Diceros bicornis minor: one gene and its partners. The protein of the gene in region 1 binds, or shares a complex with, the protein of each later gene. Links are inferred from orthologs where the notes say so. Each region holds a gene or a part of one and is shown on either strand. Other genes may lie near its edges. The genes, in order: KRAS, phospholipase A and acyltransferase 3, MAPKAP1 and RGL2.

Evidence for each region.
Region 2: the proteins of KRAS (region 1) and phospholipase A and acyltransferase 3 are in contact, whole or in part, in a crystal structure (PDB 7C41), measured with the Homo sapiens proteins. The link is inferred for Diceros bicornis minor from reciprocal best matches to the Homo sapiens genes KRAS and PLAAT3. Residues at the interface, in NP_001356715.1 of Homo sapiens: Ala11, Gly13, Lys16, Ser17, Tyr32, Asp33, Pro34, Thr35, Ile36, Thr58, Ala59, Gly60, Gln61, Asn85, Asn86, Lys88, Asp92, Tyr96, Lys117; in NP_001121675.1 of Homo sapiens: Leu65, Tyr66, Asp67, Val68, Ala69, Gly70, Ser71, Asp72, Lys73, Tyr74.
Region 3: the proteins of KRAS (region 1) and MAPKAP1 are in contact, whole or in part, in a crystal structure (PDB 7LC1), measured with the Homo sapiens proteins. The link is inferred for Diceros bicornis minor from reciprocal best matches to the Homo sapiens genes KRAS and MAPKAP1. Residues at the interface, in NP_001356715.1 of Homo sapiens: Ile21, His27, Val29, Glu31, Asp33, Pro34, Ile36, Glu37, Asp38, Ser39, Tyr40, Arg41, Leu56, Glu62, Glu63, Tyr64, Ser65, Ala66, Met67, Asp69, Gln70; in NP_001006618.1 of Homo sapiens: Phe280, His287, Gly288, Phe289, Ser290, Leu291, Ile292, Gln293, Lys307, Lys310, Arg311, Arg312, Lys313, Gly314, Ser315, Phe363, Glu365, Ile369, Val374, Met377, Leu378, Ser380, His381, Tyr484, Glu487, Ser488.
Region 4: the proteins of KRAS (region 1) and RGL2 are in contact, whole or in part, in a crystal structure (PDB 8B69), measured with the Homo sapiens proteins. The link is inferred for Diceros bicornis minor from reciprocal best matches to the Homo sapiens genes KRAS and RGL2. Residues at the interface, in NP_001356715.1 of Homo sapiens: Ile24, Gln25, His27, Val29, Glu31, Asp33, Pro34, Thr35, Ile36, Glu37, Asp38, Ser39, Tyr40, Arg41, Lys42, Tyr64; in NP_004752.1 of Homo sapiens: Ile651, Arg653, Glu660, Asp661, Gly662, Ser663, Val664, Tyr665, Lys666, Ser667, Ile668, Leu669, Lys685, Lys686, Asn688, Arg689.

The regions. Positions count from the first base shown.
Region 1 is NC_080756.1:37,462,149-37,469,812, forward strand, and holds the start of KRAS (GTPase KRas), read left to right. Parts: upstream 1-4,648; 5' UTR 4,649-4,708; exon of another isoform or gene 4,709-4,721; intron 4,722-5,136; exon of another isoform or gene 5,137-5,252; intron 5,253-7,664. UniProt on the Homo sapiens protein: Ras proteins bind GDP/GTP and possess intrinsic GTPase activity. Plays an important role in the regulation of cell proliferation.
Region 2 is NC_080770.1:9,290,180-9,297,054, forward strand, and holds the start of phospholipase A and acyltransferase 3, read left to right. Parts: upstream 1-3,873; 5' UTR 3,874-3,962; intron 3,963-4,460; 5' UTR 4,461-4,523; coding exon 4,524-4,538; intron 4,539-6,875. UniProt on the Homo sapiens protein: Exhibits both phospholipase A1/2 and acyltransferase activities. Shows phospholipase A1 (PLA1) and A2 (PLA2) activity, catalyzing the calcium-independent release of fatty acids from the sn-1 or sn-2 position of glycerophospholipids.
Region 3 is NC_080767.1:33,988,507-33,996,159, reverse strand, and holds the start of MAPKAP1 (target of rapamycin complex 2 subunit MAPKAP1), read left to right. Parts: upstream 1-4,638; 5' UTR 4,639-4,853; intron 4,854-7,653. UniProt on the Homo sapiens protein: Component of the mechanistic target of rapamycin complex 2 (mTORC2), which transduces signals from growth factors to pathways involved in proliferation, cytoskeletal organization, lipogenesis and anabolic output.
Region 4 is NC_080753.1:31,159,548-31,166,867, forward strand, and holds the start of RGL2 (ral guanine nucleotide dissociation stimulator-like 2), read left to right. Parts: upstream 1-4,305; 5' UTR 4,306-4,412; intron 4,413-4,643; 5' UTR 4,644-4,684; coding exon 4,685-4,843; intron 4,844-4,874; exon of another isoform or gene 4,875-5,374; coding exon of another isoform or gene 5,375-5,469; exon of another isoform or gene 5,470-5,474; intron 5,475-5,482; exon of another isoform or gene 5,483-6,023; intron 6,024-6,122; coding exon 6,123-6,206; intron 6,207-6,461; coding exon 6,462-6,640; intron 6,641-6,769; coding exon 6,770-6,820; intron 6,821-6,905; coding exon 6,906-7,203; intron 7,204-7,320. Other genes in the region: TAPBP (tapasin), read left to right, coding at 208-606, 1,009-1,350, 1,434-1,523, 1,653-1,690, 2,166-2,303, 2,430-2,441. UniProt on the Homo sapiens protein: Probable guanine nucleotide exchange factor. Putative effector of Ras and/or Rap. Associates with the GTP-bound form of Rap 1A and H-Ras in vitro.

The DNA of each region.
Region 1 (7,664 bases):
TAAGATCCAAGGGATATAGTATTGAATGAGGCAGGGACTTTGGAATTAACCTAGTGGGGAAAACAGATATGCAAAAAAAGAATATAAAGTCTAATGAAATAAATGTCCATAGGAAATTATGTGCTGGGTAAATGAATTAAATAGCACCTATTCAGTGGTACAAATTTCCCCCCTGAGAAAATCGATATAGGGGCTTAGCAGTTCAGTGCACGCGCTCCGCTACTGGCGGACTGGGTTTGGATCCCGGGCGCGCACCGACACACGGCTTGTCCGGCCATGCTGAGGCGGCATCCCACATATAGCAACTAGAAGGCTGTGCAGCTGTGACATACAACTATCTACTGGGGCTTTGGGGAGAAAAAGGGGGAAAAAAAAAAAGAGGAGGAGGAATGGCAACAGATGTTAGCTCAGGGCCAGTCTTCCTCAGCAAAAAGAGGAAGATTGGCATGGATGTTAGCTCAGGGCTGATCTTCCTCAAAAAAAAAAAAAGAAAAGAAAACCGATATAGAGTCCATGAAAGCATCCATAGGGCTCCTCCTGCTTAACTTTTCCTGCTCTGTGTTCTGCTACTCTGGCCACAGATTGGCATCCAGGATTAGCACCCAAACTAAGGCAATGGTCTTTAAGTCAGGCATAAAGAAGGCCAGTCACCAATCACGTGGCCCGTCAGGAAAATTGTGTCCCATAAAGACCCTTCTTATTGGATAGTGAATGACAGATGCATTCAGATCCTCTCCCTTGGGATGTTTTAAATGTAAGTCACAGAGAGTGTCATGGGAAGCAGAGATAGTGGTAGAAGCTGAGACTGTATGAGAAAGAATCAGAGAGCTACTGATTCAGGAGAATGGCAAAATTACTAGAATGTGGGCAGTACATGCTCGTTAACGAGAGGATGAGTGAGGCACCAGAGCCTGTTACTGGATCACAAGAACTGCTGTTGATTCCTGGAATGACTAGTAGTCCTGGCTGATGATACAGTTTGCTAAAGTTTCCTTATTTCCTTAAAATAAACCCTCAGCATTTGCAGTGCTCTGAACATGTCCTGGCATTTTACATCTTGTAAGATCCCTACTAACACAAGGGTATTCCTGTTATTTTGGCTTTGATTACATCTTCAGAAGAGGGTATCTCCTGAAGGGTCAATATGATCTTCACAAAGCAGGATTAAAAGGATGTGAGCACGTGCACATGTGTATGTGGCTGCCTTCCCAGAAAAGTTAACAGTAGAGGGTAGAAACTTCAGTTACATTGTAGAGCAAGCCTGGAATTACCAAGTTTAAGCTTTTTGTTATTCCCTCTATCTTTTCCCATCACGATCACAGAATGAGCCTGTGTGCTTGTCCTTGGGGAGAGCAAAGAAAGGGAGAGCCAGGGAAACTATTCAATGCAGCCTCTAGGTTTGAAGAAGAGGAACCCAAAAGATAGAAGAAAGCACAGCTGTCAAGAAAAGAGAGGAATCTGAGTATCACATCTAGATCAGATCACTTCTCTGTATACAGACTGCTAACCACCAGTCTAGGATCACCTGATTTGTTAAAAATGAAGATTTCTGGTTTGCTTTAGACCAACTGAATGGAATATAAGGGTGAGGGGCCTAGGAACTTGCATTTTTGTAAGTATGCCAGGTGATTCATGAAGCGCTTTCCTTTGAGATCACTGCTCTAAGCCATGTGTCAAGGAAACACAGAGAGTGTTGGGGAGGAGGCTGCTGGCTTCTGAGAAAGCGCTCAGGACTGAATGGCAGAAAAGCTCCACATAGCAAATATATACATTGCTGTCGGAGTGACAAGGAAGCAGAGAGAACTGTGTGAGGGGAAGCTGGAGGGTAAGGTGTACGGAACAGATAGGGGGATGAAGACTTGCTTTGGGAATTGTGAGCCCAGATGATAACAGAGACCATGTGGATGGATTAGGTTTCTCCTAACGCCAGAATTTTTATAATCACCATGAAAGTGCTATATATTATAATAGCACTTCTCTATATTATAGTCCTTGTAAGATTTATGGAGCCCCAACTACAGGGAGAATATTGTATCAGCAGCTGTCAGAGAAAACAAGAGCTTATCATGTACTTGCAGAAGTTGGACAAAATAAATCTGTGATATATATTTGAGTGACTACAAAACAACATACAAATAAGTGCAAATTCATTCATTTAAGAAAAACCCACTGTGTCCATTATGTGTGGACACTTTTCTAGAGTCCGTAGGGTACAGTTTATCAGAAGGTGACCTGGGGGTGTTTAAAGGCAGATTTTATAAGAAGGTGAAAACAGAGATCACAGAGAATTTAAGGCACTCCGTCTAAGTAAGGATGTGGAGTCACAGAGTTCAGAAGGAGGGTACACAACTTCATTTATTCAACATTCCCCAAATATTTAGGATTTGGGGGAAAGAGAGAGAGATGCAATATCAAAGATGATCTTTTGGGAAGAACTCATTAGAAGAAGACACCTTAACAAAGATTTATAAGTGTTGGAGGAAGCGTTATGGATATATAGTGGACATGTGTTCCAGATAGAGGGGCAGCAAGTGCAAATGCCCCGAGGAAGGAAGAAGCCTGCCTGGCATTTTCAAGGAACAGCCAGGAACCGGTGTGTATGTACAGAAGTGAGGAAGGGAGACGCGTAGGATGAGTTCAGAGAGGTAAGGGGACTTTGCTTTGATGTTAAGCAGGATGGGAGCATGAGTGAGTTTGGAGCAGAGGAGTGAACATGGTCTGACCTAAAAGATACTTCATTTTAGCGGTGTGAACTTGAGCCCAATTTTCTTTTCTTTTTTTTTTTTTTGTGATGAAGATCAGCCCTGAGCTAACTTCCATGCTAATCCTCCTCTTTTTGCTCAGGAAGACTGGCTCTGAGCTAACATCTCTTGCCAATCCTCCTCCTTTGTTTTTTCCCCCATATCCCAGTAGATAGTTGTATGTCATAGTTGCACATCCTTCTTCTAGTTGCTGTATGTGGGACCCGGCCACAACAGCACAGCCAGAGAAGTGGTGTGGCGGTGCACGCCGGGGATCCGTACCAGGGCCGCCAGTAGCGGAGCGTGCGCACTTAACCGCTAAGCCATAGGGCTGCTGGAGCTCAATTTTCAACCTCTCTGATTTTGTTTCCTCATCTATAAAATAAGGTTGCTGTGATGATTAAATAAGATGTATGCGCGAAACATTTAGCAACTACTTGACAAAGAGTAGGCATATTCTTTTCCCATCCCTGTCTTCTACTTCCTGTCCTGTCTGTTCCACCTAGTACCAGGAGCAAGGCGAGGGGGACCCAATAAGCCTTCCAGACTACAGCCCACATAGGGGGTGCGAAAAAAAGGCTGACAGTTGGTGTAAGGCTTAAGTTAACAGACACAGTCGTTGGGATTTAAAATAATTGTTTAACCCATGTTTTATGACATGGACTAGAGGGACACAATTGGAAGTAGAGATTCAGATGGGTGTTTCCATTAGGTATAGGCGTTGGCCTGCCAGGCCTCAATCTTTAAAACTCAATTTACCTTTCTAGGTAGTTTATCAGCGCAGACTCTGGGTATGCCAGCAGTTGTAACTGTTTCATTGTTTAATGTGTTAACTCCCCAAATGTGAACTGATTAATCTCAGTCTTCTAATTAATGTGTCAATGATTCCCCTCAGGTCTAAACTATCAAAGGCACTTCTACTTAAAAATAGTTTGTCTTCTGCTTGTGCCGTCAGGGGCAATAGGTACATTTGAGGTCGCTCTTTAGAGTGACCTGTGATGGCTTCAAAATAGCCATAAAAACAACAACAAATAAGACGAGTGATGAAAGGGTTAGTCACGTCGGTTTGGGCCTGGGGCTAGGTTCCCAACCCCAGTGTTGAGGCTGATAATCACCAAGCCTTGATGAGAAAGCCCCGGGGTGGGGAACTGTCTGCCGGTCTCTCCCAGTCACCGAAGTCGCCTCCCACATTTCATGACTGCGTGTTTATTTACTGGCAGCAAATGACAGTAAATGAATGTGCACAAGTGTAGGCCGACCCCGAGGGGTGGCGGGATTTTCGCAGCTTCCGCGTGCAGACCCGAGAGGGGTGCGGCGGGGTCGCCTCTGGCGTCGCTCAGGTGTCCCTGCGGTGTGCGCGCGACCGATCGCGCGCCGGCCCGGGTCCGAATCTGCGGCTGCGGGTTCGGCTCTGCGGCGGGAGCCTGGGGGCGGGCCGCCGCGTGGGGTCGGCAGCCCCTCCTCCCGCGCCGCCGAGGCACCGCCCAGGCCCCCTGCTCCGCCGGCCGGGCTCCCCGTCGTCCGCCGCCCCAGCCACCCCCTCCCTCCGCCGGCCCGGCCCCCGCTCCTCCTCCGCCGGCCCGGCCCGCCCCCCTCCCCTGGCCCGGCCCGGCCCCTCCTCCTCCCCAGCGGCGCTCGCCGGCTCTCTCTCTTCCCTCTTCCCACACCGCCCTCAGCCGCTCCCTCCCCGATCGCCCGTCTGGAGAGGAATCGAGCACCGAGCGCATCAATAGCTCTGCCCTCTGCGGCCGCCCGGCCCCGAACCCATCGGTGTGCTCGGAGCTCGATTTCCCTAGGCGGCGGCCGCGGCGGCGGAGGCAGAGCGGTGGCGGCGGCGGCGGCGGTGGCGGCGGCGGCGGTGGCGGCTGCTCGGCCAGTACTCCCGGCCCCCGCCATTTCAGACTGGGAGCGAGCGCGGCGCAGGCACTGAAGGCGGCGGCGGGGGCCAGAGGCTCGGCGGCTCCCAGGTGCGGGAGAGAGGTACGGAGCGGACCACCCCTCCTGGGCCCCTGCCCCGGTCCCGACCCTCCCCGCCGGCGCCGGGCGGGGCCGGCGGCGAGTGAATGAATTAGGGTTCCCTGGAGGGGCGGGGAGGGGGCGCGGGCGCGGGCGCGGAGCCCGGGCGGACGGGCAGACAGGCTCGGGGGGTCTGCAGGGGGAGGCGCGGGGCCGCGGCGACGCGGGGAATGAGGAATGGGCGTTGCGGGGCTGAGGAGGGTGAGGCTAGAGGCGGCCGCCGCTTGTGCTGCTTCCTGGACGGGGAACCCCTTCCTTCCTCCTCCCCGAGAGCCGCGGCTGGAGGCGGCCGGGGAGCAACTCGCGGGCCGGGCGGGCTGCCCCTCGGGGCGGTCGGGTGCGGTGGAGGTTACTCCCGCTTGCGCTCCAGTCTCCCCTCCCCCTCGTCGTCCTCCCCTCTCCCTCCCTCCGCTCCCGCACCTCTTCCTCCCTTCCCAGCGCTCGGCTGCCTCGGTCACTGCCTTCTCGGCTGCATCTAGCATCTCTAGGACGAAGGTATAAACTTCTCCCTCGAGCGCAGGCCGGACGGATAGTGGTCCTCACTGTGTAGCGGGGTATAGGGGTAAGAGGGGAGGTCAGGTTTTGGCAGAGCATGGGAAAGTGCTTAGAGACCACTGTTTGAGGTTATTGTGTTTGGAAAAAATGCATCTGCAGCCGAGTTCCTGACTGCTCCCCTCCCCCATGTATGGGCTGTGACATTGCTGTGGCCACAAAGGAGGAGGTGGAGGTAGAGATGGTGGTGGAAGAACAGGTGGCCAACACCCTACAACGTAAAGCCTGTGACTTAGTGAAAAGGAAAAAGTTAATCGTAGAAGGTCTCTTTTGCTTTGTCAAGTTAAAACACACGTAGAAAACCCTCAGAGCAGAAGCAGGGCTTTTTCCTTGCTAGGTGAGTGTAGACGGCAATAACTAAAATCGTATTTGAAGTTTAATTTGCCTGTTCTTGTCCTTTCCCCCATCTCTTCTATATTCCCCTCATCCTTACGCATCTGACCCCCATCCCAAGAGTTATTACAGTACTCCTAAACAGCACTCACACAATTTTTTTAAACTGATTTAGGAGAGGAGTTAATTGTAGCAATTTGCCGGCCAACTGCCTGAAATACTCTGAGGCGTGTGCATACCATAGCTGAAGCCCTGCGCTAGCCTTTTTATATCTTGATATCCATCAAAATAAGAGGCTAAGAACAGAAAGGTATTTTCTGATTTTTACACAACGTACCTGTTACATTTGTAATGGAAAAAAAGTCATTTGCAAAGAAATTACAAAGGGGAAAAGTCTGTGTTGTAATCATCATCTCAGAAGCAGCTAAATGAGTGATGTCACTCTTAGGTGACTAAGGTCTAAAATGCTGACTCGAACATGTAATAGACTATAGACATCAAATACGGTTGATATCAATACTGTTTACTTTGAGACTGCAGCCAGGCACAGGCATACTTGGTTTTAAGAGATGGTAGATGAGGTGATAATTCAGTTTCATGACAAATAAAAGTGAATTTTTTTTTTGCTTAACAAAATGTTAGGTTCTGGTCCCAGTTCCACCCCTTGCTTTTGTATCTTTGGGTGAGGGGACTCTTTCTGGCCTATGATCTTCAGTAAGACTCCTTGGGAAGCCGGTTCTCTCTAGCGGATTTAAATATTACTTGGTGTTTAAAATCCAATTCAAGGATTTTTTTCTGAAACAACCACTGCATAAACAAGTAGACCAAGAAGGTGTCTGTCTTTCAGAATTCACACATGTATGCACAACTAAGCTCTAATCCAGCATCTGTCCACAGTATCACCTAGGCTAGCAAACTTTTTGGTCATCAGGACCCCTTTACACTCTTAAAATTTATTGAAGATCCCAATATGGGGTATGCCAGTATTTACCATAATAGAAATTAAAACTGAGAATTTAAGAAATTTATTAATTCATTTAAAAATAGAAATAATAGGCCTATTACTTAGTAACATAAATAGCATTTTTTTAATGCAAAAACAACTATTTTTCAAAACAATAAAACAGTGAGAAGAGTGCCATTGTTTCACACTTTTGCAAATCTCTTTAATTATATGGCTTAATAGAAAACATCTGGATTCTCATATCAGCTTCTGCATTCAATCTATTGTGATCACACGTCTGGAAAACTCTATACTTGTGACAGCATAAGAGTGGAAAGGGTAAAACATCTTAATAGTATTATGAAATTCTTGGACCTCCAAAACGTCTTAGGAGCCCCATTGGGTTCTTGGACCACATTTTGAGAACTACTGTTCTATGCTATCCAAATTATTTTGCGGGGTGAGGTGGGCAGGGAGCTAGAGGATACATTTTGGTGTGATTCTCCTCGTCTATCCCATTTGCTATGGCCTATATTTAGAATAAAAAGTGAGAGCAAATGGGATAAGATAGATGTTAGTAGTGGCTCCTAGGGTGGCCCCAGATGAGCAGCGAGTAAGGCTGGGTGGTGCAGAATAGGCCAGGGAGCTGTAATGTAACGGTCTGTGATACAACAGTTGTGTAGCCTGTCTGCTCTTTGTGAGAGGGCTCAGGAATAGGGTGAGGCGGTGGTTAGTATGTTATCATTTGGAAAACGATATTATCTTTTTTTTTTTTTTGGTGCCTATTTGGATAATTCTTGGTCTTCAGTAAATAGGATGCTGCATGCATATAGTGTTTATATACAATATCTGCACATTCATTAATTTGGAACTACTTATTCTATAATAAATGAGTGTGCATTTATTGCCATTCTTTCTGCATTTCACTTCTTATTTGTAATACTGTCATGTAGTTGTTGAGGGAAAGAAGATAAAATTAAATTTATTCATTTTATTTCAAAAAGTTTGAAACAACTGATTAAAAAATATTTTCTGTCTTGTGCTGTTAATCTTACAAGTTATCAGTATTTATTGCAACT
Region 2 (6,875 bases), on another chromosome or scaffold:
TCTTTTCATAGGCACCAATAAAACAGTTGTTTATGATGAGAGCTCTCTAAAAATTTTTCCAACTTAAGGATCCATTGTTTGGCCATTTACTCTCTGGAGGTTAAAGAATATTGTGGCCATGTGGTGTTACAAAAGAAAATCATCCCTTTTTAGACATTGGCTCATAACTATGATCAGACCATCTACTCAGAATCAGCCCCAATGGGCTCCACTTGGGGACAGACAGCATGTTCCCCATTCTGTTACACAGAGATGGACAGACATACAGATCCAGACACAGAAAAACCAGACACCAGTGAACCAGCTCCCAGATTTAGGGTACAACTGTTCCCACTCCAAATGCGTGCCCAGATAGCCCCTCCACAAATGGAAGTGGCCCCAGATGGCCCTGCCTTAAATGGAAAGACCCCAGATGGAGGGGAAAAGAGTTCACAGGCATCCCTGAGGCAACTTACCCTATTCCAGATTGAGTCTGTGGACTCACCAGAAGCAAACACAAACAAATCTAGAGCCTGTTTCTTTGCTACAAGAAAATGTGTGTAGGGCCAGCAGTTCTGGGTCAGAAGGAAACTACGGGGGACAGTCCCTAGGGCAAATCACCTAGGCAGCTGATAGACTGCTTCCCAGGAAATCCCAGTTGGCCAGGGCCACGGAGCCACGGGCCAAGAGCCCCCTGGCTGGCTTGCCAAATTGTTACTGGACACAAACACAGGTTCTTTATCTGCCACACAAGAGGGGCCAAATAAAAATTGGAACACCAGGCTTATGGCAAGCAAAGGGTTTTTATTTCAGGTGACATTAGCCAGGAGATGAGAGTCAGCCCTCAAATTTATCTCATCTCCCTGAAAGATGGGAGGAAAGGGGTTTCAAAGGTTGTGAGGAATGTGGCTGCTTGTAGGGAGGGGGAGCCTGTGGCCTTGCTGGTTGGTGCTTTCCCACCAGCCTGTGTTTGGCCTTATGAGGCTGCTTGCAGGGAGGGGGTGGTGAGATAAGAGAATCGCAGGTGGGTGTCTTTGGTTGCCTGCCTCTGTGGTGGAGGGTGGATTCTGGCACCAGTAAGCTGAGGAGTTGGGGTCTGGGAAGCTTCAGCTTCCTGATATTCTCTGGATATCAGTTTCCCTGTAATAAAACTTCCAAGGACCCGTAACTAGCCAAGATGTTAGCATGAGGCCACCTGGGCTCTAACAATCTGTAACTTCTATTTGCCTTGGGAAGTTCAGGGATAGAAAGGTTTAAAAAACCAATATTTACATAGGACTATAACTTAGAGAAGCAAGCAAAGGGAGTGAGTGCTTTTGATTTTAACCCCATATATGCTGGGTTTAATGTAGTGGACCCATATCAGGGCCAGTATCAGGAACTTTTCAGGGCCTCGCAACAGGGATTTGTTCTCAGCTTCTGTAGGACTTGAGGAGTTTCACAGATAGGGGATTCAGGAAGAAGTTGTACTTCCCCTTCCTTTTCTTTCATAAAAGCCTGATTTTTCTGGTCAGAGCAAACTGTCAAAATTGGCGCAATCACAAAGCCTCACCAGAGTAGCTGGGACACATGTAAAAGGCCTGTATTCACTTGGCTAATGGAGCCTCAGGACCTTTCTCCTGAGGACTACTCCTGTCTTTTGCTTTTTTTTTTTTGGTGAGAAAGATTAGCCCTGAGCTAACATCTGATGCTAACCCTCCTCTTCTTGCTGAGGAAGATTGGCCCTGGGCCAACATCTGTGCCATCTTCCTCTACTTTATACGTGGGATGCCTGGGCCGGCCCAGTGTTGAAGTGGTTAAGTGCACGTGCTCTGCTTCGGTGGCCTGGGATTTGCAGGTTCAAATCCTGGGCACGCACCAATGCACCGCTCGTCAAGCCATGCTGTGGCAGCGTCCCATATAAAATAGAGGAAGATGGGCATAGATGTTAGCCCAGGGCCAATCTTCCTCAGCAAAAAGAGGAGGTTGGCATCAGATGTTAGCTCAGGGCTGATCGTCCTCACAAAAAATAAATAAATTAAAAAAATAAATGAAAAATAAATATATGTGGGATGCCCGCCACAGCATGGTTTGATAAGCAGTGCATAGGTCCATGCCCAGGACCCAAACCTGTGAACCATTGGCCACTGAAGTGGAGCACGTGAACTTAACCACTACACCACCAGGCTGGCCCCTACTCTTCCTGTTTTTAGAGTTGCTGTTAAGCAACAGAAACCCTCATGTTATCACGGAATGCTGCTACGGATTCTGCTCCTTAAATGCGGTTTGCCTGTCCTCTCTCTCTCCTCCCCTCTCCCCTCTCCTCCTGCCCTGGCCTTCTCCTCCCACCCCACCCGCTCAGAACCCCCACAGGGTCTCCCACTTCACAGCATTTAGCCTTGTGCCATTTCCTCGCACCTTCTCAGTTACCCCTTCCTCAGAGACAGCAAAACAGTGGATTCTCCTGGAGGAGAATTCATCCTCCTCAGAAGGCAGAGAATGGAAGACTTAAAATAATTAAAAATAAATGTTTCTCCCCTATCACAAGAAGAAGAAGAACGGGGCTCCGTGACTGTGATTGCAGAAAAGACCAGAGGCTTTGGAGGCAGGTATTGGTTTGATCCTGGCAGGGCTGTCCCCCTGTCCCGTGTGATGGACTTGGAATGGGGCTTAGGGGTGATCTTGCTGACGATGGTGCCGGCATCATCTGCTGGCAGCTTCTCAGTCCTGGGGCCTTTCGTACAGAGCTCCTCTTTTGAGAGCTGTGTGAAAGGTAAAAATCACTTTCTTGATATCCCCGCCCCTCAGGATGTTTTTTGTTTTTCCTGGCACAGCAATAGGAAAAACAAGTAAAGGAGGTGACATCTGGGCCATTCTGGAAGCAGAGAGTAAGGAGAAGCAGAAGTCAGTCTGGTTTCCTCAAAACCGAACTTCTCCATCCTGGATTTGGACCACTTTACAGAGAGTTGCTTGCTCAATACATATGACAATTTCTTGGGTGAGTGGTAATGCACAGAGCGTTCTGGTATTTATCTAAATTGCCTCTGACTCTCCTTGTCGGGAAGCTGGTGAATAATGTGTGATGTTGACGATCGTGTACCTTTCCTCGTGTAAATAATAGCCAATGTGTCCTGCGGATTTACCATGTGCCGGACATCAAGCTCAGCATTTTTATAAGCATCATTTCATTTGTTGCTCTCCCTTTGAGGAATGTACTTTTATATATTATCTTATACATTGTACAAGATCATCATCACTCCATTTTACAGATGAACAGACTGAGGCTCAGAGAGGGAAGGATGCCCTGGACCCCATAGCTGGCAAGTGACAGGGCCAGGATTTGGCGCAAGCATCCTGATCCCAAGGCTCAGTGCTGGCTGGGAGTGGCGGGAATATAGAGATGAACCGGAGCTGGTTCTCCTCTTGTGGAGCCACAACCAGTGCAGAGGAAGGCCCTGTGTTTGGTCATTCATTCATTCATGGAATGCCTACTGTATGCGAGGTTTGAAGGATATCTGATGGCTTAAGACCCAATAGGTAAAAATACTCTCTGCTAGACCCTTGCCTTCAAATGGCTTTAAAATTTATTATAGTTTTGAACTATAAGCCCACTCGAGTGGAGGAGATAAGTAAATTGATTGCACTCCAGTGTGATGTGTGTACAGAGAACAGTATAATACTACACGTTCTTAAATATTGGGGGGCCCGCAGAGCGCGTGTAGAAGAGGTGAGGAGGTGGCCCTGGAGCTGGATCCAGTGTGTCGGGGAGAGGGGGGCAGAGGAGGACGTGGGGAGAGGCGGTCGGGGTGAGAGGGAGGCATCCTGGCTTGTCCAGCCCAGAGGCCGGAGCCCGCTGTCCCTGTGCCGGGGGCAGGGAGCTCTGCGTGGCTCTCATTAGCCAGTCACACAGGGAGGGGCCCGGTGACCTCACGCCGGTCTGGCCTCTGCGGCCATTAAACTCGTTCTCTTTGCAGTGGCGGCCGCGCTGCCTCCAAGTCCGAGAGGTGGGTGGACAGGTTCTTCCTGGGACTTAAGAAAGGGTGGGATGCTTGGGGCGGCTCTCCGGGTCCCAAGGGCTGTGTGGGAGAGGGAGAAGTTGGGTGAGGCGGGAGTAAACAAGTTGGGGAGCAGCCTGCAAGCAGCTGCCGCCTCCTGGCACCGCGGACCGGGGAGGGAGGGCCGGGCGCGGCGCCCTGGCCGACTTTTTGGGGCGCGGCGCCCTGGGCAGGCGACACCGATCGCGCTCCCTGCAGCTGGGCCGCCAAGCCTCTCAGTATCGGGTGACCCTCCCCTGCCCCCTTCAGGGGATGCGTGGGTTCTGGGCCAAGTGCAGGGCAGGGAGGCGGCGGGCGGGGAACTCCGAGGGAGTAGGCGGTTGTGCCTGAATCCGGTGGCAGACGCACAGCGCACGGTCTCCCCACCAGAAACCCCCGTCCCCTGGGGTCTCGGGGACGCTGTTTCCTGTTTACGACGTAGAGAATCTCCTGCTCTCCCTGCCTCAGGCACTTACACTGCTGAGAAAGCGAACTCCAGCCTGAAACTGAGAGTCCACGTCACGAAAGAAGATGCGCGCGCCCATCGTAAGTGTGGGGCGGGCGTGGGCTGGGGCTGGGGGTCGTGTTTTAGTGGGGACTCGCTGTCCCGGGCCTGAGTTGTCACTTCAGGGAGACGATGCTTGAGGAGGTGGGGCCACACCTCCGCAGCCGCTGGGCAGCAGGAGTGGGTGTGGGTCAGCGGGCACCTGTTGGAGTCGTCTCGGTGCCTGAACTTGCGAGGGCAGGTGTGGAGGCCGCCCTGCTGAAACCGGCCTCCGGGAAGGCAGGCCCTGCGGGACCTACATGGAGAGGGAGGCAGAAGGGACGACTTGCTCCGCAAAGGCCCTGTGCTGCCGTCCTGAGTCCGGCCAGAACGCCTGGACTGGCCGCTGGGGCTGAGTGGGGCAGGAGCTGCTACCCCAGGCCTCGCCTGGGTCTGACCGCAGGGGCCTTTTCTGGTCTGAGCTGACCGCACCTCATGACCAGCCCTGCCAGCAATTTCCAAGCTCTCACGTTTTCGTTTTCTAACCTGTGATGTGGTTCGGAAATCATAAAGGGCCTTGGCAGGCGGCAGAGAGGTTCAGAGCGCCAGCTTGTGAGGTAGACCCCCGGGGATTGTGTTCCCGCTGAGCACTTAGCTGCGTCTCTTGGATCAAGTTTCAAAACCCCTCTGTTCCGGGGAGTGAAGATTATATGACTGAATACTTACGAAGTGCTCAGAACAGTGCTTCACACACTTATTGAGTGCTCAACTGTAATTCACTATTATTATTATTATTTCAATCCTGGTAAAGAGCTTCACACCGCACCTGGCATCAGAGTGTACCTGGTTTATTTGATGCCTGGAGCTGTCGTTTTTAAATCTCTCTCTCTTTCATCTGACATTATTTCCAGTCACAATCATGAAATAAATAGTAATAATGCCCAGAAAAGAAACCTAGTGAAAATTTCCTTTTATTGAGCTTTGTATATGAAGTCATGTCAGTGAAAAAATAAAAAATGAAAAATCAATAAAGTTAGAGAGAAAAATAGAAAAAAGTAATGGATTAATGGTTTTTAATTGCATTCACGTATTTTTGAAAACAACTTATTCTTACATATAGGGTGATCACAGTAATGAATGATAATAACATTACAGTTTCTGTTTTGGAACTTTAACTTCTGAAAAGTTGACCATGACTTTGTCAAAACTGATCTTCTTTGCATGTTCATGTTCAATATTCAGTGAAGCTAGATTTGTCAATTCATCTTTGCTCACAGTTGATTGAAGAACCCTTTTTATTAATTTTAATTTCAAAAGCTTCTCTTCATATGAACCAACACATATCCAAATAGGAAAAGCCTTAAACATTAGGATAAGTTTGTCAGAGATTCGTAAAAATCCCATTTCATAATAAATTTCAGACATTGCAATAATGCCTGTCTTTTTTTTTTCCTAAATCAATTCTAGTGGCTTCTAAATATCTCCACATTTGAAACATTTTCACTAAAACATCTTCCCCAGAAAATTCATCATAAATTTTTATCTTTGGCAAAATTCTCCCGAGATTTTCTTCTTCTGCAAAAGTCAGAGAAAACGGCTGAACAACGGTAAACATTGACATTTATTTAAACCATTGCTTTAGAATGAGAGTCTGGCTCTTGGTGAAAATGATTCAGGCTTTCAAACACTTCTTTTTAGTTTCTTCTGGCACTGGGAGAGCAGACTCTTTTTTCCCTCTTTTTAAAATTTTTAAATTAAAAACCCTTGTGTTGAGGCTGACTTGCAATAGATCGCAGCAAGGGAGCTGCTCTGCTACCCATGAAATTCCAACCCAGAAGCAGGTGGTCTACGAATGGTTTAGAGAGAGCAGGCTCTTTGTCTTCTGTTTAAACACAGGAAAATGTAGAACCACAGGGGTTGGTGACACAAACTGTGCAGAAAGTTCAAACCATTCTGAGCGATTCGGAACTCGCTGTGGGAACAGACATGTGTAGCTGAGCCTATGTGTCAGCAGCTGACTGCATAACTGGGTGTTCTCTGATTGAACTGCCATGGAGAAGACAAAGTTTTTTAAAGAATAAGAAATAAAAATGTGCTAATTTGAGGCTCACATATATATTATTAAATCTCAGCAGTAATTGCCACAAGGAGAACTTAAAACAATACAATAGCTTTAGGGGGAGTAGTATTTTATCACTATTATTTAAAATTGTTGGCAGATGGTGGTAATACACAGCAGACTGACTTTTGTTGTGTCGTATTGTTTTAAAATTCTCTGCGGACAACCCATTTCTATTTGTCTGCACCCGGGGAATACGGCTTCCACCTCCCGGCACTGGGTGTGCCACTGCCTGGCTCTTAGGGCTTGACCAGTGTTCCTGGTTAAATCTGCTCCCTGG
Region 3 (7,653 bases), on another chromosome or scaffold:
CTTTGTACCATAGGAGTATAAACGCCTATGTTTTCCCTATGGGAGGAAAAAATATATTTTAAAAGGAGAGGAAACCAAAACTGGGAAAATAGCAGAGAAACATATTCACACATATAAGATACTAAGAACACACATTTGTGGGCTGGCCTGGTGGCATAGTGGTTAAGTTTGCGCGTTACGCTTCGGTGGCCCAGGGTTTGTGGGTTCGGATCCCGAGCACGGACCTATGCACCACTCATCAAGCCATGCTGTGGCAAGCATCCCACATATAAAGTAGAGGAAGATGGGCATGGATGTTAGCTCAGGGCCGATCTTCCTCACAAATAAATAAATAAGAATACACATTTGCAAGCAACTGGAAAGTGCTTCCATTTTCCCACCGCTCTGGGAGGGCTGGAAAAAGCATTACTTTCATCCTATTATGTTTACTCTCAGCTTGTTGTCATACATTTGGCAAAGTGGTATTTTCCATATGCAAATTCTGCTTATACAAAATAAGATTTCCAATTGCTTCATTTCACATGCACATTTTGAGCACATTTGCATTTAACACAAATTTTACCAAGTGTTTACGGTGTTATAAACTTTCAGTATATAGAAAGAAATAAATGTCCCTTTCCTCATGCCCTGTCAGGGAGACAGATGTGTATTGGAAGAACCACAGAAAATGTGATAAATGTTGAATACAGAGAATGAAACTCCTTATGTGGCCTATTAGGGAGAGGTGATCTGGGAAAGCTTCCTGGAGGAAGCAGTATGTGAATTGGGTCTTCAAGAATGAATAGACTAGGGCTGGGCCAGCGGCGTAGTGGTTAAGTTTGTGTGCTCTGCTTCAGCGGCCCAGGGGTTCGCGGGTTCAGATCCCGGGCACAGACCTATGCACCACTTATCAAGCCATGCTGTGGTGGCGTCCCACATACAAAATAGAGGAAGATTGGCACAGATGTTAGCTCAGGGACAGTCTTCCTCAAGCAAAAAGAGGAAGATTGGCAACAGATGTTAGCTTAGGGCCAATCTTCCTCACCAAAAAGAATGAATAGACTATACTTAGAAGGGGTTAAAATGGCATATATGTAATAAAAATATTTTTTAAAAAGCACATTGAGGTTTATCCTTTTAGAATACTGCCACTGTTATGTAGAAACCCAAGATAGCCACTAGAGAGGCCACAAGGAGAAAAACTAAGGTGCCTTGGCCAACATCTCCAGCCATTTAGACCTTCCAACCATTCTAGCCGCCATTTGACTGAAAGTACATGAGCGAGCCCAGGCAAGAGGGGCAGAAGAACCACCCATTAAGCCACAGAATCTTGAGAAATAATAAATGGTTGTTGTTTTAAGCCACTTAAAAGAAAAAGATGGGGGCCGGCCCAGTGGGGTAGTGGTTAAGTGCACGCACTCTGCTTTGGCGGCCCAGGGTTCACGGGTTCAGATCCCGGATGCGCACCGACACACTGCTTGTCAAGCCGTGCTGTGGCAGCGTCCCATATAAAGTACAGGAAGATGGGCACGGATGTTAGCCCAGGGCCAGTCTTCCTCAGCAAAAAGAGGAGGATTGGCATTGGATGTTAGCTCAGGGCTAATCTTCCTCACACAGAAAAAAAGAGGGGCTGGCCCCATGGCATAGTGGTTAAGTTTGGCGTGCTCTACTTCGACAGCCTGGGTTTGGTTCCCGAGTGTGGACCTATACCACACGTTGGCAGCCATGCTGTGGCAGTGACCCACATACAAAATAGAGGATGATTGGCCACAGATGTTAGTTCAGGGCGAATCTTCCTCAGCAAAAAAAAAAAGAGTAGGAATTTGCTGAGTGGAGAGGGAAAGGGCAATTGAGGCCTGAGCAGGAATTGCTCAAGCAATTGTGTTTCAGGAAAGCAAATGCATAAAGGGACCTGATTCTTGCTACCCATCTTGGTGTGCCAGGCCCTAAGAGCTGGCATTTATAGAACAATTCCTGTATGCTGGAGAAAGTTCTAAGCACTCCATGCATTACCTCATTGAATCCTCACAACCTAGATGAGGAAACTGAGGTAGAGAGGAGGCAGATAACTTGTCGAAGTCCACACAGCTAGTCCGTGTCTTTGAACCTCTGTCTGTTGCCCATGTTCTAGTCCTGTGGACCAGAAGAAAAGGAACGTCTATCCCCTACCATGGCCTCCTTTCCAAGTTGTCGTAGGTATGCTGAGGTATTGATCTCTCTGCCTTCATGTTTACTGGAGTCCCGCGACCAGCCCCTGGCCCAGCACCATCGGTATGCTGTAAAAATAATTTTTTCTGAGTGTGTCAGCTCTCACGGTCTTACTCCCATGGACCCCTTGGTCAGGCCAGAGATCAACGTATACTTTGCTTTTTAATGCCACTTGCATTCACTCTCTGATACAGCTCCCACTGCTTGGAGGCTAAGCCATCCGGTTGGCCTATCCTCTCTCCTCCTCATCCACCTCCCTCCCTCAGTTGCAGAATGGCTTGGGAAGCACCCCTGGTTTCCTTTTCACATCTGTCCATCATCCTGGAGCTTTGGAGGCCACACGGCATCTCAGTTCCTTGACCGGCTCATCTTCAATAACTTTCTCCTCCATTCCACTTCAGCCAGGACCTCACTCTCACACCCTACTCTCTTCATCTGAGGTTATTCGTTAAGACATCCATCTCTGAGGATAACCTCCATCTTTCTGCCTGCCTCCCGCCATCACTGACTTCCATTACACCTCTCCTAGGACCTTCAGGCCAGTGACATGAGCCTTTCCTGAATTCTCTTACCTCTCTAGTATCCGTTCTGTGGCCCTTTGTTTTAAGCACTCTTTAAAGCTGAGATCGGGACCGGCCCTGTGGCATAGCGCTTAAGTGCATGCGCTCCGCTGCTGGCGGCGCGGGTTCAGATCCTGAGCACGCACTGCTTGTCAGACCATGCTGTGGTGGCGTCCCACATAATGTGGAGGAAGATGGGCACGGCTGTTAGCTCAGGGCCAGTCTTCCTCGGCAAAAAGAGGAGGATTGGCATGGATGTTAGCTCAGGGCTGATCTTCCTCACAATAAATAAATAAAATAAAAACTCTAAAAAAAAAAAAATTCATTGTTAAAGCTGAGATCTTAAACTCCTGACCCCATCACGCCTGTCTGGCAAAACTCCTACACCATCAACTGTCCAGCGTCTAGGGTAGGCTTCATACATAGGCACTCAGTAAGTATCTGTGTACTGACTGAAGTGTAGCAATAGTGGTAAGCATTTTATATACATGTTAGCTACATGCCAGGCTCTATTCTCTGTGAATAATATGTATTAGCTCCTTCAATCCTCACAACAACACTCTGAGGTCAGTTAGGACTTTCGTCATTCCCATTTTACAGATAAGGAAATTCAAAAAGGCAGCTTGGAGAGATGAGGTCATAAAACTTGTCAGTGGTAGAGTGGATATTCAATCCTTAGAACCCATAAATGCTTAGCATGTCGAGTTGATTTCAGTTTTAGATAGTTTGTTTTATGTGTCTGAGGGACAATCAGGCAGCTGTGCTTCAGACTGGAGCTCAAGAGAGAAGTGAAAGTGAAGATTAATATTTAGGAGGGGACAGATAACCCGGTGACCTCGGAAAACAGAATATCCAAGGTTGTTCACACCCTTTTCTTTGACAGAGCGCCCCCAACAGGCCCCCAATGAAACTGTGGTGGTGTGTGTGAAGGAGCGCATTTGGGTGTTAAGGTGCATTTTTTTTTCCCCCATACGAGCTAAGATCTATCCTATTTGAATACATGGGGGTGGATCCCTGGTGTATTTGTTGGTAACTGTAATATTGGGTAAGGATCTCCAAGGGCTGAAATTCAGCCTTGACTTTTTTTTTTCTCCTTTCGCTAAGGCGCATTTTTCAGGGAGACTTTCTGGACCATCTCTGGGCTAGGAAAGATACTATATCCTTCACCGTGCCTTCCCCTACTGATTCTCTCTGAGATATACAGAGACCTCAAACTATGAGCTCCTGTTCTCCGCCAGTCCTCATATCTCATGGAAACTTCCCTACAGTTCTTGAGGAAGATAATTATCATCTCCGTTTTACAGATAATGAGTAATAACTAACATTTACTAAGTGTTTATTACGTGTCAGGTACTGTGTCGTGTTTTTAAAGCATCATCCCATTCGAGTCTCACAGCAATACTCTAAAATTGGAACTCTGTATGGATGAGAAACCCGAGGGTCAGAGAGGGGAGGTGTCTTGTCCTAGGATACACAGCAAGCTAGAGTTGGCATTTGAACCTGGGTCTTCTGACCCAAAGGCTAAGCAGCCTCATCACTTATTTCTGGATGAACTGAGGGCTTTTTTCTGTGGAAGCGGGGAGAAAGGAGAAGGAGATTCGAAGGGGAATGCTAACGTTGATTTCTACTTAACGCAAATCCAGAAACTGATGTGATGTTGTCTGACTCGCCGCTACTCTCTGACCCAGGATTTACCCGGGGCCGGGGAAGTGGCGCGCATGCGCACGGCCTCCCGTTCGGCCCCGCCCCCCCAGGGAGGGCTTCTCTCCTCGCTCCCGGCTCTGGGGCTTGCGCACTATGTCCCCAGCTAGTGGCTCCTTCCCGGTGGGGACTTCCGGTGCGGGGGGTGCGGTTCCGGGTCGTGGCGCGGCTCGGGGCGATAGGGCTGATGCTTGTCCGGCCGGCGGCGGCGGCGGCGGCGAGCAGCAGGGGTATGAGGGCGAGCCCGGAAAGCGGCAGCTGAGCCGGCCGGGAGAAGTGCCAGTCCCCGAGGATTCCGAGAGTGCGGAGCTCGGAGCAGGGGCCGGGAGGCGCGAGGGAGCCGGGCCCGCCCCTCGGGAACGTGTCCCGGGGCCGACCCGGCCCGTAGTGTGGCAGCAGCTTCAGGTAAAGGTTGCCCCCGCCAGCTCCCTCGCTCGCTCTCCCGCCAGCCCACCCGAGGAGCCTGGTGGCCCTCCTCGCCCCTCCGCTCTCGGCGCTGCCCGGCAGGCAGCCTGTCCGGCCCTTGCTCAGGTCTCCCGTGAGCATCCGTTTCCTGGCCCTCTCCGGAACTGGAGGCTGCTGTGAGCCTGACAGCTGGGCGTGCGATTTGGGGGAGGAGCAGCTAGTGGACCTGGTAGTGTTGAGGGGGTTGGAAGGGTACTGTTGGCTCCGGCAGTTTCTGGCCCTACACTCGGCATCTAGGTGTCCTAGTCTTCATAACGCGAAAATCAAGTTTTTACAGCATTGCCTGTGTGGTCCCTGTTTCCTAGCGCCCCTTCTCCCTATTGCCCCCAGAAGGCCTCGCAGAACTGTGTTTTTCTAGCTAGAGTGCTGCTGGAACTTTGGTTCAGCCTTTTGTTTATGGGAGTGGCAAGGAGTCTTCTAGATCTGTTTAAGGCTGGAAAAAAAAATGATTGTAGTTTAAACAAGAGTATTACTTTAACCGGAGACCCATAAGTTGACTCAGAAATTAGTTAAAATTTCGTTCTGAATGAGCGCAAGTAATTTTTGAAGCCTGTCAGTACCTGGCACTGTGCTAAGCGTCATGTTATAAACCAAAACCAGCAAAGGTGGGAATTTCCCCAGGTGTGAACAGTCAGATGGAGACAAGTGTTTATACACATCAGTTCAAGTCAACATTCTCATTCTATTTTGACAGACAGAAGGGGTGGATTCCTAATTTAAAAACCCACTAGAGCAGGAAAAGGAGGCACCATGTTTTATTCTTCATAGTCTATGAGCCCACACAAGGTGCTCCGTAAAGGCTGAGAGTTCTTGATGGAGCACTGATAATTGTTTTCATCTTTTCGATATACGCACTGGCAAGCTTGCTGGAGCCTGTGAGGCATGCTAGTGGCCCCTTTGCCATTCAGCTTTGTACTCATACCTTCCTTCAGCTACTGTGATATGAGATTGCACTCACACTCCTCTGCACCTCCTGATCTGGCTCCTGGCTAACTTTACAGCTACACGTGAAAAGGCCTCTTTCCTTAATTACCCTACTCTTATCCTTTACTCTGGATAAGTAGGACCTCAAATCACTTTTGTTCTTTGTTTTGTCCATTGTTTTTTGTAGGACATTCTCTCTGCCTAGAAAGTTTCTGCTTTTCGATTTCCACCTACTGAGATGTTACCTGGGGCCCAGTTGAAACTGGCCTCCCTCAGCCAATTCAGGACAGCCCCAGCTGGAAATGATTTCTTTTCTCAAATCCTGTAAACACTCATTATTACATCTGCAATTATTTCCTGCAGGGAGCTCAATTTAGTTAAGGAAATAATTCCAACACAGAGTGATAAGTACAGTGTGAGTTCTGTCTGTGATACAGTGGTAGCCCAGAAAGGGCGTGGCTCATTAACTTTTGAGGAGTATGCTGTGGCCAGGTAATGCTTCATAACGTGTGGTTAACTAAGCTTTATTATTTACTATGTACTGGATATTATACATAGATTTCTCTTCTTCAATCATTTTAACCTCAATTTCCAGATTAGGAAGACTCAGGATAAATTACATGTCTGGTATGAGGCAGAGCCTGGAGTCAAACCCAGGTCTGTCTGATGCCTACATCTGTGCTTTTTCCATTATGTGTTTTGCCTTCTTTCTCACACCATAGCTCTCTATGTGCAAGTACGTATTGAAACAACTAGACAAGAGAAAAAACATGAATGTCAAAATAAATGGTACAGATAGTCTTTTAAATGTAGAGAAGACTGTGAACTTCCAAGGCAAGAAGGTGGTAGGTGGGTCAGCTCAACTTTGAATATGAGTGAGAAAGACATTCTGTAGAGAAGTATGGACTCTGGATTCAATTCCTGGTCCCTTCTCTTACGAGATATGTGACCTTTGGCAAGGTTCTTAATTCTAAGCATTATTTTCCTCAAGTATGGATTGGGGTAGGAGGATAATATTGATCTCATGGAGTGTTGTGAATATTTAATGAGCTAATGTAGATACAGGGCCTGATACATGGCAAGGCCCACTGAAGTGATAGCTGTAAGATGTGAAGGTGTGAGGCCCGTGGCATGGCATTAGAGTGGTGAGTAGACAGCCTGAATCCAGCAAACCATTGCTTCTTTTAGTGGGGACACCAGGAGGTGAAGTTGGAGGGTCACTAGGGGTCAGAGTCAGTGAGGGCTTGAGTGTCAGGCAAGAGGGGCAAATTCTAGTTTCTGCTCATAACTTTTCCAGTTAATAAACACTTTGAGGATCTGTGATTCATTCAGCAGTCCCAGGGCAAATGTTAGACCCTTGGGATGCAAAGAGGAAGAAAACAAGGTCCCCACCCTGAGGTTGTTGACATTCCAGTGGGGGAGACGAATTTGTGTGCAGATGAACGGTAGTGAAGTACTGTAGGTACTAAGATAGCAGTCCCCATGGGGTACCATGGAGCACGAAGGAGGGAACACTGATAATGGTGGTTAATGAGCACTTACTGTGTGCCAGCATCATGTTAAATGCATTATCTCATTTATTCCTGTACAGGAAGGTGTTATTAGCATCCTGATTTTACAGATGAGGGCACTGGAGCACAGAGCGGTTAAATAAATTCCTTGCAGGTATTGGAGCTGTCAGTGGAGGGGATTATCTGCTAGACTTTGGCATCTCCACTCTTCATTACTACACCGTGTTGTTTCTGCTGTGTACTGTGGATGGGGACCCTCTGGAGAGGCGTCTGAGAGGAGCTAACCCTTGAGCAGTGACTTCAGT
Region 4 (7,320 bases), on another chromosome or scaffold:
TGCTCAGTCTCAGCCACACTGGGCCCCACCCAGTCCCAGAGCAAAGGGGATTTGTAGGAAGGGCTGGGAGATGGTGAGTATCAGAAAAGGAGGTGTCCTCTGAGGGGTGGGGAGTTGAGTCCTCCCTATAACTCCATTTCTCTCTTTTTTCTCCTTCTTTCTCTCCCTCATGCCCCTCCCACTCCCTCGTCTCCCCATTTTCCCCAGCTGTGCTGACTGTCCTCACCCACACCCCCACCCCTCGAATCCGACTGGGACAAGATGCTCTGCTGGACTTGAGCTTTGCCTACCTGCCCCCCACCCTCGAGGCCGCTACATCTCTGTCCCCAGGTCCCCCTCCCTTTGGGCTGGAGTGGCGACGCCAGCACCTGGGTAAGGGTCACCTGGTCCTGGCTGCAACTCCTGGGCTAGGTGGGCAAATGCCAGCTGCCGAAGAGGGGGCAGTGGCATTTGCTGCTTGGGATGATGATGAGCCGTGGGGTCCATGGACTGGAAACGGGACCCTCTGGCTGCCTGCAGTGCGGCCCTTCCAGGAGGGCACCTATCTGGCCACCGTACACCTGCCATACCTGCAAGGGCAGGTCACCCTGGAGCTTGCTGTACAGAGTGAGTAAGGGGACAGGGGTCCCCACGGGTAGAGGGTAGGCACTGGGATTATGGGGACATCATGATAGGAGGAGGGATGGTGGAGAAGAGAGTGGGGGGTGAGTGGGGGGAGATAGATTGGGGTCCCTAAGAGTCAGAGGGGCAATGGGTAGAGGGTCCCTGAGAATCTGAGGGGCTTTGGGATGAAGGTTTCCAAATCTGAGGGAATAGGGGTCCCTGAGAATGGGGGGTTTGGCATGGGGATTCCTGTGAAGCACCAGTGGGAAGACAGTAGGTTCCCCATCCTGGAAGAAAAAACCCAAACCCCCCTCAGTTTTGGGGAAGCCAGAGGGCAAAGTGAGGGTCTCTGAGAAAGGACAATGTGGATTGAGTCCCCCCATGCTCCTTTCCTACTCTCTCCAGAGCCCCCCAAAGTGTCCCTGATGCCAGCACCTCTTGTATGGGCTGCCCCCGGAGAGGTTCCCCCAGAGTTGCTCTGCCTGGTGTCCCACTTCTACCCCTCGGAAGGCCTGGAGGTGGAATGGGAGCTCCGGGGAGGCCCAGAGGGCGGTATTCAGAAGGCCAGGGGAGAGAAGTGGCTTTCTGCCCTGCGCCACCACTCAGACGGCTCTGTCAGCCTCTCCGGACACCTGCAGCCACCCCCGGTCACCACCGAGCAGCATGGGGCACGCTACGCTTGCCGCGTCCACCACCCCAGCCTGCCCGCCTTGGGGCGCAGTGCTGAGGTTACCCTGGAGGTGGCAGGTAAGAGCCAGGAGGATAGAGAAGCCAGGGGCGGGCTCCCGGGAAGATACTACGGGACTCACTCTGGCCCCTTCGCCTGCCAGGTCTCTCCGGGCCCTCCCTGGAGGATGGCATAGGCCTCTTCTTGTCTGCCTTTCTCCTCCTGGGCCTCATCAAGGCACTGTGCTGGGCTGGTGAGTGTGAGCCCCACCCCGAACGGGACCGCGACTGGCGGACACTCCCTGCCTACTCCCAGAAGCCTGACACCCATCCCTCTGCCCTGCCACTCCCCCATCCCATCCCTTCTCAATCTCTCTCCACAGCTGCCTATTGGTCCACTTCCAAGGAGTCAAAGGAGAAGGTAACAGCACTCCACCGCCCCTTCCATTTCCCCTCTCATTTGATCCCCTTCCCCCATGGAGGGAGGCCGCTGGTGTGGTGGGCAGAGCGCGGACTTGGAATTCACACAGACCTGGGTTAAATCCTGCCACTACCATTCTAACTGTAGGACCCCTTGAACGTATTACGTAACCAACACCTCAGTTTCCTTGGGGGTGGGGATAAAAAAAATTACTTAGGCAGTGCTGTCCAATAGAAATATAATGCAAGCCACATATGTGAATTTAAATAATCTAAAAAGGTAAAAAGAAACAGGTAAAATTTATTTTAATACACTTTATTCCATCTAATATATCCAACATATTATCATTTCAACATGTAATCAATATAAGAAATTCATAGTCTTTTTTTCCATCTGAAGTCTTCAAAACCAGGTGTTTATTTTAAACTGTCAGCACACCTCAATTCAGACCAGCCACATTTCAAATGCTCAACAGACACACATGAGTGATGGCTACTGTATTGGACAGTGGAGCCCAGGAGGGCTGTTGGAAGGGTTAAAGGAGACTTTGGAAGATGCAGGAGCAGAAGCACTCACTGCACAGTGTCTGCCAGGCAGAAAACACACGGAAAATGTGAGCCCCATTCTTCTGCCACCCTCTGTGCCCATGATGGTTCATTTATCTCTGGATTGACCATAAGCACTTCACCCTGCATTCTAAAACCCTGAATTCCTCACCTCTTTTTTACTTCTCTTCCAGAAAGCACAGTGAGGGCCCTCACCATCATCCAGCAGAAGCCACCATCATCTCTGGTCTGAGCTACTATAGTAGCTCCCCCAAATACTACACCATCATCTGCTCCTGCTCCCTCCAATCTCTCTCCACTGAGTGGCTGGAATCCTTTTTTAAAAGACACAAATCTATAGCATGCACCTTCTTAGAGCTCTAGGGCAGTGGTTCTCAAAATTTTTAGTCTCAGGACCTCTTAAAAATTATCAAGAACTCTAAAGAGCATTTGCTCATGTGGGTTATAACTATAGATATTCAGCGTACTAGAACTTCAAACTGAGAAAAATTAAAACAAGAATACACAAGCACAAATTTCATTAGCTGTGAGAGCGATGTCAAAACACATGAGCTTCTGGAAAACTCTCCTGTACATTTTTTAGAGAATGAGAGTGAAGGGGCAAATAACATCTCAGTATTGTTACGAAAATAGTCTTAACCTCACATGTCCCGTGAAATAGGGACCTCCGAGACAGGAACCACACTTGGAGAACCCGTGTTCTAGAGGTCAAATCCATTCTTCTTGCCCTGGCCTCCGGGCCGAGCCACTGCTTACAGCTTCAACTCCACCTGATGCCCTCCAGCCTTCTCAATGCTCATCACACCGACGGCTATGCCTTTCCTCCAGTGGCCTCCCGCCCTCACGGGGCCCCAGCGCCCTGTTCCCTCTGCCTGGTCCACCCTCGCCCTCCCTGGGCTCCAGATCAGGTCAGCCTCGTCGTTCCCCTCAGACTGCCCCGTGTCCCTCTTGTGCGGCTCACCACGGTTGTATTTAAGTGATTGTGCCAGTCACTGTTAAATGCCTGTCTCCCCTCCCGGACTGTCGGCTCCTCGAAGCCCAGCACCATCCTGTCTCTTCCGCTGCTGTGAGCCCTGCGCCGCTCAGGGCCTGGCGCCCACTGGAGGGGGCTCAATTTAAGTTATCGTCTTTTGCGTCTCGTCCTAAGTCTTCAATAAGAAGTGTTGGATCAAATAACTATCGGACGAAGGAAGCGGCAGTTCGGCTTAGGGTCCTCCGAGGGGCCGGACGGTCGCCCAGGGCAACGCGGGGAGCGGGTCTAATCGTGTGGGAATAAAGTTGTGCTCCAGTGCTTCTAATGTGTCTCATTCTATCCCGGGTTCCCCTGTCCAAGCGCAACGGCTCTTCCAGTCACCTCTGGTCCCTTCCAATTACCCCAACCTCTCAAACGCCTTGGCGACACCCAATCCCCCTTCGAAAAAGTTTGGGGTCGGGGGCCACCAATGGCGGACAGCACGCCCTCAATCAGCGGGCTCTCGGGGCGGGAGCGCGACCTCAGGAGAGCGCAGATCCCAGCCTGCAGCCGGAAACCCGGAGCCCAGACTCTGGAACCGGATGCGGCGGCTTCCTGCTCCGCCCCCTTACGGGACGGCGGCCGCCGAGGGCTCTTCGGAAAACCCGGAGTGGATTTCCGTTTGCTGCACGCGTGGGTGGGGGCGGGGAGTGTAACCCCGGGGGTGGAGGAACTGGGTCTTTCTCCGCCTGAAACGCTTCGCGCGGGAGTTTTAGCCTCGTTGTTGTGTGGGGGGAGAGGACTGTCAAACTGCTGCTGCCCTCCCCCGGGGGCTGGAGACTGGAATCTTTATCCCAATTCAATGTGGGGCGACGTGGGCTCCAGGATCACCGAATCGAGGGGGCCCGAGCACAGCGGAGCTGGCGGCCCGGGCTCCTGGGTCCCGGCCCCTGGACGTCCAGCGCTCCCCTAGTCCGCGGCCCTGGCTCCTGTCCTCACTTCCTTCCCTTTTTGGCTCCTGCTCTCGGAGCGGGCGGACGTGGGGGGGAGCGGAAAGGGCGGGAGGGCCCGGGAGCTTGGCGGGGGGGTGCAAGGGGTTGCGGAAAAGCCGCGGAGGGGACTTGGTCCCGGGACTCGGTCGGGGGCCGGAGACCGACGGCAACAGCGGCCCGGGACCCGCACTGCCCCCACCCCTCCCGAGCAGGTCAGAGCCAGAACACCCTACGACCCTGCCCGTTCCCGTACTCGTGACCCCCCTCATCCCCAAAATACACCAGGGCCCCCTATATTCCACCCCTTTGTGGCCCTCCCCCCCGCCCCATTCTCCCTGCAGGACTCCTATCCGGTTACCTAGACACCCACCCGCGTCCCTCCCCTCCCACCTCCCCCGCGCCCACCTGACTCTCCACCTGCCCCCCCTCCTGTCTCTCCCCAGGCGCCCCCATGGCCCGACCCCGCTGATTCCTTCGCTCGGCCATGCTCCCGCGGCCCCTGCGGCTGCTTTGGGACACGAGCCCCCCCGGGGGAGTCGTGCTGAGCAGCTTCCGGAGCCGAGATCCCGAAGAGGGTGGGGGCCCAGGTGGCCGGGGCGTGGGCGGGGGGCAGGAGGAAGAGGAGGAGGAGGAAGAAGACGAGGTGAGATGTGGGTGGTGGGAGGCAGGGGGTCTATATTTCAGAGACTCGCCACCTTTCTCTCCGCGTTTGAAATGTCCCTGCATTTCTTCCTCTCTGTCTCAGTTATTTCCGCACCTCTTGCTGGGTGTCTGCCCGTCTCCCCGCTGCGGGAAGTCCCGGCGTTTCTGTGGTTCTCTGTGGCAGTGTGACTCAGGAGCTGCCCGCAGGAACCTGCCCTGTTACTGCCTGGAGCGTCTGGCGGGCTGTCCTGCGGGTCTCTGGCTCTCTCCGCCTGTACCTGAGTGTGCTTACCTCTCTGGGCATTGTGTCTCGGTCCCTGTCTCCCCTTGTTTTTGTTTGGCGGGGAGGGGTTTGTTTCCACAGTAACCGGCTCCTCTGACTCTGGGATTGGGGAGGGAACCCTTCGATTTCGTGACCCCTCCCCCCTTTCCCGCCTGGCGCTGGGTGGAGGCGGGAAGCCAAGGTTCGTGGACCTTGGAGGGACAATCGGAGGTTGAGTGGGGGGTGGTCACCTGCTTTCCTCCGGGACTAATGGTGCGGGCCGGGCGCAGGATTTGGGCCCTCAGGAGGGGCCAGAAGTTGGATTTGGGGCCCCGAGGCCCTGGACTCCTGGGTCCAGAGGCTGGGTGAGGTCAGGGTGACTGGCAGGGCTGGTTTTTCGGGATCGGCTGGGGGAGGGGCTGAGGCCATGTGACTCTCTGAGTCTACCCCCCCACATCATCCCCACTTCCCCTTCTCCTTCCTGTACTGGGATCGGAGCCGCCACCTTGAGGGGGTCTCCGGGGCCGAGGGACCAGGGGGAAGGGGGCTGAGGGGAAGGACTCACTCTTTGGGCTTGGCCAGTTCCTGCGGGGGAGGGCGGAGCATGCGGCTGTGCCGGTGACTGAGGTTTCAGCTTCTCAAGGTCTCTGCCTCTGGCTTTCTGCCTCGCTCGCTTCCCTCTCCTCCCCTTTGCACCTTGCTTTTCTGCTGTGTTAGTTCAGCTCTGGGGGGAAGGGGCTTCGGCAATCTCCGGGATCAGGGTTCCTGCATTCCATCCACCCCCCCACTGCAACCCCCTCGACTCCACCGGGCCCTGAGGCGGCTTGGGGGGGGCTGTCTGGGCCCCAGTGGGGGAGACCTGGGGTCACCAGCCCCCCCCACCCCTCGCACTCGCTGGTACTGTCCCCCGCCGCCACAGGTGAGGGGTACAGAGGGAGGAGTAGGGCCTGGGGGTGAGGGCTGGGAACAGTGGGGGGTGGTGTGGGACTGTCTGACTTCTCGTTTCTTGCTCCTCCAGGCCCCTGTGTCTATCTGGGATGAGGAGGAGGATGGTGCCATCTTTACTGTCACAAGCCGCCAGTATGGGTCTCTTGATCCCTTGGTGAGATCATAACTTTGGCTTCTCACCTCTGACCCATCACTTCCCAGCTCCCCTTCCTCTAGCCGGCTTTCTGGCCAGAGTGCTAGGTTGGAGGTCTGGAGACCTAGACTCTGCTGTGTAACTTATATCAAGTGTTTTTGCCTCTCTGAATCTTAATATAATGAGCCTGGATCATCTCCTAGGTCTGGGATTTTCCCCAGAGATCTACGGGCAGAGTTGAAGAAAGGGTCAGTGACTGGTCCCCTGTCTCCCCAGGCCCCAATGCCTCCCCCGCGTTCCTCCCGAAGGCTCCGAGCTGGCACTCTGGAGGCCCTCGTCAGACACCTGCTGGATGCCCGGACATCAGGGGCTGACGTGACCTTCATGTCAGCCTTCCTGGCCACCCACCGGGCCTTCACCTCCACATCTGCCCTGCTAGGGCTTATGGCTGACAGGTCAGGGTCATAAGGACCAAGGGTCATGGATGTGTCTGGATTTTCTAAAGCCAGCGTATCCTACCAAAATAGTCAAAGCCACTGGGGGTTTGGAAAAAATGGACAGATAGAATCTCTTCCCCTCCCCAGGCTGGAGGCCCTTGAATCTAGTCCTAGTGATGAACTAGAGAGGACAAAAGGGTGAGTGACCCCCGATTCCTAACCTCACAGCCCCTCTGCCCGAGCTGCTGCTTGATGGCTGACCCCCGGCTGATTCTCCTCCCAGGGTAGCCATCTCTGTACTGTCAACCTGGCTGGCCTCTCACCCTGAGGATTTTGGCTCTGAGGTCAAGGGTCAGCTTGACCGGCTTGAGAGCTTCTTGCTTCGGACAGGGTATGCAGCAGCGGAGGGTGTTGGGGGGGGCAGCGCTGACCTCATCCGCAACCTCCGGTCCCGGGTGGCCCCCCAGGCCCCCGACCTTCCTAAGCCCCTGGCTCTCCCCGGCGATCCCCCTGCTGACCCCACGGATGTCCTGGTGTTCCTCGCTGACCACTTGGCCGAACAGCTGACCCTGCTAGATGCGGTGAGACCCTGACCTCTGACCCCCACACCCCTTCCCCCTTACTAACCTTCCCCTGACTCCAGATCCTTTCCTTGCTTCCAACCCTTCCCCATCCAGCTCCCAGCCTCCTCTGTCCAC